Linked DNA regions of Tribolium castaneum. The protein of the gene in region 1 interacts with the protein of each later gene in a biochemical or structural test. Links are inferred from orthologs where the notes say so. Each region holds a gene or a part of one and is shown in the gene's direction. Other genes may lie near its edges.

The links.
Region 2: of the proteins of CYLD (region 1) and mib2, one has a biochemical effect on the other in vitro, tested with the Homo sapiens proteins (2 studies listed by BioGRID, with this or other methods). The link is inferred for Tribolium castaneum from reciprocal best matches to the Homo sapiens genes CYLD and MIB2.

What each region holds. Positions count from the first base shown.
Region 1 is NC_087398.1:4,982,681-4,985,135, reverse strand, and holds the end of CYLD (ubiquitin carboxyl-terminal hydrolase CYLD), read left to right. Parts: coding exon 1-146; intron 147-191; coding exon 192-624; intron 625-672; coding exon 673-1,011; intron 1,012-1,062; coding exon 1,063-1,259; 3' UTR 1,260-1,775; downstream 1,776-2,455. Other genes in the region: Membrin (probable Golgi SNAP receptor complex member 2), read right to left, coding at 1,898-2,399, 2,447-2,455. UniProt on the Homo sapiens protein: Deubiquitinase that specifically cleaves 'Lys-63'- and linear 'Met-1'-linked polyubiquitin chains and is involved in NF-kappa-B activation and TNF-alpha-induced necroptosis.
Region 2 is NC_087398.1:7,200,890-7,205,392, forward strand, and holds the start of mib2 (E3 ubiquitin-protein ligase MIB2), read left to right. Parts: upstream 1-1,454; 5' UTR 1,455-1,674; coding exon 1,675-1,732; intron 1,733-1,776; coding exon 1,777-1,944; intron 1,945-2,067; coding exon 2,068-2,239; intron 2,240-2,292; coding exon 2,293-2,594; intron 2,595-4,376; coding exon 4,377-4,503. Other genes in the region: DNA repair protein XRCC3, read left to right, coding at 1-91; heat shock factor protein, read left to right, coding at 465-1,343. UniProt on the Homo sapiens protein: E3 ubiquitin-protein ligase that mediates ubiquitination of Delta receptors, which act as ligands of Notch proteins.

The sequences.
Region 1 (2,455 bases):
TCTGTGGCAAATTCCGGGGCATTCAAGGGCACCACAATTCCTGCTACCTCGACGTCACCCTTTTCTCAATGTTTACCTACACAGCAGTATTTGACAGTTTGTTGTTTCGGCCCAAAGGTCCGAAAGATATCCCCGATTATAACGAGGTTGATTTTTCGTATTTTTCGAAAACAAATTAAATTGTGTTTTAGGTCCAACGAGTATTACGTGAAGAAATCGTAAATCCGCTCCGAAAAAATTTGTTTGTTCGTGCCGATCGCGTGATGAATTTGAGACGTTTATTAGATCGATTAAGTTCGGTGTCCGGTTTAACGAGCGAAGAGAAGGATCCTGAGGAGTTTCTCAATTCGCTTTTGGCGCAGATACTTAAAGCCGAGCCGTTTTTGAAGCTTAACTCGGGTCAGGAGTCGTTTTATTATCAGTTGTTTGTGGAGAAAGACGCCGATTTAACGTTACCCACAGTACAACAATTATTCGAACAAAGCTTTCTCACGAGTAACATTAAATTGAAAGAAGTTCCCTCTTGTCTCATCATACAGATGCCGAGGTTCGGGAAGAACTACAAAATGTATCCGAGAATTCTACCGTCACAGCTTCTAGACGTGACTGACGTTATTGAAGGATGTAAGCGGAAAAACTCTCGTCACTCGTGAAATAATAATTGTTTTTTAGCTCCTCGTCAGTGTATCGTTTGTGGCAAACTCGCCCATTGGGAGTGTCGTGAGTGCTTTGATGATTGTAGCAACGCCGGGCTGGAAAGTACGGCTTTCTGCTCTATGTGTCTCGAAAAAGCCCACAGACACGAACGGAGGTCACACCACCGCCCCGCTGTGAAACTAGATGTCTGTGATGATTTCTCGATCCTTGAAGATCACTGTCGTCCTCCTCGACTTTTCATGGAACTATTTGCTGTGATTTGTATTGAAACTTCCCATTATGTAGCTTTCGTCAAGTGCGGAGTTGGCCACGAGGCGCCGTGGTGTTTTTTCGATTCGATGGCGGATCGTAAAGGTGTGACACCATCTCGCGGCCAAGATATAAAAATTCACGAGTATTTTTCAGGCGAGAAAAATGGGTACAATATCCCGGAGATGGTCGCATGTCCGGATATTTCACGATGGTTGTCGGACGAACGGATCTGCCGCCAGTTACACGAGGACTTCCCCCAAGACCGTCACCTACCCGAACACGCGCGCAGGTTGTTATGTGATGCTTATATTTGCATGTACCAAAGTTCTGACGTCATGATGTACAGATAGATTTTTTCTTTACGACTGATATTTTTAGAATATTTATTTCTGTTTAATGTTGTATAAAGTATAGAAATTTTGATTTAATTTGTTACGAAAACACTTAACCTGATTTAAGAATTAAAATATAATGCTTGTTATATTCAGTATTGTTGTTAACTATATCACTTTGTTATTCTTCCCGGAACTGTAGGAACTATCATGACAATGTGCCTTGCCTGCTGATCTAACAATCTTCTATTTCAAGTATACGTTTGAATCGTATGTCGGCTTCATTTTTCACAAATACAAAGTGATATGGGCATTTATTAAATTTTAAAAGCGATCCCGTTGGATCGGTACGATTTTTCCCTGTCTATAAATTAACTAGAAATCGTACTGGCTCAAATAACCCCACCACATAAATAGTTCACACTTATTAATTTAAAACTATAAAATAGACTTATCGAGTATTTTTTGTAGAAAATTTATTTTTATTGTTAAAGAACGGAAAGAGGGACGAAATAAATTCTAGCAATCAAACAACCACGCATTTTCTTTACCCTTCACTGCCAATCCCAAATATTTAACCCAACCAAAACGAATTAATTTTTTATTAATAAATCAAGATTACATAATTCACAACAACCAGGGAATGTGTCACCTCTCTATGTAAAATACACAATTACAAAAACAATCACTAAAAGCGTAATCACGATTCCCAGTATCAGTATATATTTGTCTTCACCGGCCCTTTTCTCGATTAGTCTCATTGTGTGGTTACTCAGCCCCAGCGTATTAGCCATGTCCATAATGCGACGATGTGCCCCCTTCAAAGTCAGTCTTTGCGACCTAAGCGACTCTAACGCATTAACCCCCGTGTGTAGCATTTCGTCTACACCTCTATGAGAATTCTGTAATGAATTCTGGTGCTGTAACGCATAGTCTATATTGATGGTCGTCAGATCGGGATTAGGGGCAAACCGGCGATTCAACAATTGTTCCCTTTCATTAATCGCAGCCTCTCGTCGTGCCCTTTTCTGTCTAGAGGCCACTAGGGCCGCCTGAAGGTGCCTTGCATCATACTTCAACTGATCGCAGCGCATTTTCGCGTTAGGTCTTTGGTCGATCGGGACTTTATATAAATAAACATCGAGTTTTTCACAATTACTGCAATAATTTATTAATTGGGTGACGAGGTAAATTGCGATTTTTACCTATTAATT
Region 2 (4,503 bases), about 2.2 Mb from region 1:
TAGAGAATTTGAAGTTGTTTTTGCACCAGACTTATCAAATCAAACTTGTAAGTTTACCATTACAGGGGAAGGTCTAAGACCTGTTGCATAGTCATGTTACTTGTAATATATGTTCTAATAGAATAAAAGTGTTTTTGTAAATAGAATATATTTTTTTGTTTGATTTTAAATTTGCTCAAGTGCAAAGATGAATTAAACAGTGAACTATTCAAGTGACCTGCTCTCGAATTTTTTGCTCTTTTTTACTTCTGATAATTGAAATAAAGTGAAACAAACGAATAAGTAAGTACTTACAGTGTATTTGAAATAATAATAATAATTCTGCAAAAACTAGACCAGCTGTTTTACAATGCCATTGTTTTTGTTTTCATAAAAAACTATGGTATCAGCAGAAAACAGCAGAGATATCTATGCCGGCAAAGAGTCATTAATTATGACAGAAAACATTAGCAAAATTAGACGAGATGGAGGAAACTGCGAACACTGTGTCGCCTTTTGTGCTCAAGCTCTGGAAGATGATAAGTCACCAAGAAGCAGCAAACGTAATAGTGTGGAGCGATTCTGGAGATAGTTTCATAATCAAAAACCAAGCCCTCCTCATCACGAAGCTCCTGCCTCTCTACTTCAAGCACAACAACATGGGGAGTTTCATTCGACAGTTAAACATGTACGATTTCCACAAAATATGCGTGGAGAGAAGCAACGAAATGGAGTACAAGCACCAATATTTCCAGAGAGACAAGCCAGACCTCTTGAAGAACATCAAACGGAAAACACCGCTAAATAAGACATGTAGCCGAGGCAGTTGCGAATTGGTAAATTTGTCTTCGGAAATAACAGCCATAAGGAAACAACAAGACGAAATATGCGCACAGATAAATGTGCTCCAGCAGGAAAACGTAACACTGCTCAACGAACTGAGCAGTTTGCACGCGAAACAGAACAATCAGAACACGATTTTGAAGAACATCGTGCAAGTCTTGATGCCGTTCTTCGACTTATCGAAGAACAAAAACGAGGTGAACAATGGGCCCAAGTTCTTTCACGTATGCCAGAGCGTGCCACAAATCGAAGTGTTCAATAAAAATGCTTCTACTAACAACTGGATTGATAAACGCTGGATTTATCAAGAGAAGCAGTTGTGTGCGCCCCCCAGTGAGGGCCAAGGCGGCGAGACGTTGTCCAGAGACACTCTTATTGACTTGGACAATGAGCTCTCGAATATTATTGAAACAGAAATGTTGGATAATCCATCTTTGCTCATCAGTCACGACCTGAACCAGGATTTTAACTTAGAAACTGGCGTAACTGATGATAACTTTAAGACTAAAGTAGATTTTTGATTGTTAAGTTTCTTTGAAATAAATTTTTTTCGTTCCATTCAAATTTGGCACTGTTCCGTGTGGTCTGGTTGGCACCCATGAGTAACACAACCAACCTACGAGAAATGAACAATCGTACCTGTCAAAATTCAACAATAATAAACAACTTTCCACTTGCCAGTTGAACGCTAACGTGAAATTGCAAAAAGCGAGGCGATTTAAAATGACCCAATAATTAAAAAATCGGTGCGCATTTCGCAATCGCCAAGTTGTGTGTGGTGGAGCAGTGCCAGTGACTCAGGGGTTAATACACCCCTAAGCTTTCCATGGAATAAATTAATTCAGATGCGAGATGTTGACGCCTGGTGTTCGGATCGTCCGTGGCCCCGACTGGTCTTGGGGCAACCAAGGTTCAGTGGCCCAAAGTTAGACTAGGGTTAATTGAATTTTTCAGATGGGGGTGAGGGTTTCGTGGGCACCGTGTGCGAGATCGGCAAGTCTGGGAGTGTGGGGTCCCCTGATAAGACCGCAGTGGTCCAGTGGGACAACGGGACGCGGACGAACTACCGAGTTGGCTATTTGGGCAAATTTGACCTCCTTGTCATTGACAACGCGCAAATAGGTAAATCGCGATAAATTAATAAAACAGCGATAATTTTGTTATCGGACACCATCGATGTGTAGCAATAACAGGAGGAGCAGCCTTGGAACTTATTAGAAATTCTGCTAATTATTCCATTTCTAGGCGTCAAGCATCCTAACATTGTTTGCGATGGTTGCAAAAGCCAGGGCATTTGCGGCATGAAATACAAGTGTTGCGTTTGCTTTGATTATGATCTGTGTTATATGTGTTACCACGGCGATAAGCATGATCTTGATCACACTTTTAAGCGGTTTGACTCGGCCACTGCCTTGGGGTGAGTCAATTCGTTAGTTATTGTGTTTTTCGGTAGTAAAAGTGGTTTGTTAGAGTCGATTTGCCACCCCGACAGAATGGGCGAAAATGCGAGCTGAAGGGCATTTTTGTGGGGGCCAAGGTGGTAAGGGGGTACAACTGGGAGTGGGGGAATCAGGATGGGGGTGATGGGAAAGTCGGACGAGTTTTGGATATTAGAGGGTGGGATAAGGAAAGTAGTCGCTCTGTGGCTAATGTTACCTGGTTGTCGGGCTCGACGAATGTCTATCGGCTGGGGCATAAGGGCGATTGTGATATTAAGTTTGTTGAGCCGGCTAGTGGAGGGTTTTATTATCCCGAACATCTTCCAATTTTAGGTGAGTTAGTTTGTTTGAAACGAAAAAATTTGAAACCAACCGTGTGTAATTTTTGAAAAAAATATACATACGTTTTACTAACTAATATTGCTTTTAAACTATGTTAATTATTTCAACAAATTTGAATTTTGGGTTAGCATTATTCAACAAGGTTTGGCGTCAAAACCTTCACGAATTTTTTGTCAAATAATTTATGAAATTCGTTGACATCATTGGAAAAGTTTCTAGTTGTTGCGTGCACTAAAAATTCGTTTTGTTCTTGCTCAGCTTAACAATTGAATATTAATTGGTTTAGATAACTTTGTAGAAATTTTTATTTGTATTTTAAACGGACAATAAAACTGGAATGTTGGTAATCAAATTAATTAATTGCATTTTAATTCATTGCAATCTTTTCTGCGGTCTATTTTTTACAAATATATAAGTGAGGCATGTGGCTTATTTGTTATTTTATTTTGATATTTTTATATTTCTTTCTTTTCGTTACGTTATGTGTTCCTCTTATTCCTTTTTAAAAACTTTTCTGTTGGTTTGGACGAAATCTTTTAAAATAAGTTTCTGACTAAAAAAAGCTTTAATAACATCTAACAGTAACGCACAAAATTCAGGTAAATTCAGGTTGTTTTATTTTTTAAATGCTACATTTCGACGTTTTAGTGACATGATATCAATTGTTTTTGAGTTGTGACGTCATTTTTAATTTTTTAGTGATAACTATTCAATGTTTTAGATAATACACATCCTTATCTTTCGGATAATAAAAAAATAATTAAAAATTAATAGTTATTTAATAACAAGGGAATTATAAGGATTTTTGTGACCGTGGACTACGGATTTACTGTCCAGAGGGCCATTAGGTCCGAGGGCTCTAACGGACAATACATTGCCCTAGGATATTAACACCCAAAAATTCCAGTGATAGATAAACAATTTTATTTTTTACTGAAATAAATTTCTGCAAAAAATAATAAGTTAAATGATTGAAAAAAAAAATATTGAAAGAAATTAAGGAATTAATTCCACAAGGGAATTATAACCATCTTTATGGTTACTTTATTTAAGGCAATGTTTGACTACTAGACTAACTAGATTAGTAAGAAAAAAATAAATAAATGCAATACAATAAAAAATATTGACAATAATTAAGCATAATCTTCTTGTTTTTGACTTATTTTATAAGTGGCAATTGTATTCGTATTTTTGTAAAATTATCATAAAAACATTTAATATGACACCTAAGCACAAAAAAGTGTACAAAAAATCGTTATACAATAAAGCAAGAACGAAAAAAAAAGCTCTTTAATACTTTCAATAACCATTTTTTCATAAATAACGTAAATTCAGAGCGCATTACTAATTAATACAAACACCATTTTTGCATTTTCCTTTAATTTTTTGAAATACATGGGGTTCTATTTAATCTCTTTTACTGCTAATTTACTACATTTTAAGTTACGGTGACCTCTGTGGCTACAGCCCGTAACAACGTAACATTTCAGTAATTTCGTCAGTGACTGATAAACATCAAAAGTTATTGCAAATACCGATTTAAATAATTATATAAAATATGAAGTCATATTTTAATGTATTAAGATTACGGTTTGATACTTATAAAAAAGTGGCCTAGTTTTTATGGTGGTTTATAACATAATTTAACAATTTTTGTTTGCTGATGTGTTGCATTGATTTATTATGCAATGAAAATTGTTTTGGATTTCCTAAGTTTGTCGATCCACTTTTTCAAAATTGTTGTGCAAATATAAATATTTAAAAATCGTCCAGGGCACAACATAGAGCAAGCGGTGGCTCGTCCAGTCAGATCAGGCCCTCCTCCATTCAGTGTCGGTGATAAAGTTAAAGTCGTCGTTTCCGAAGAACAGTTGAAGACTTTACAACAGGGACATGGTGG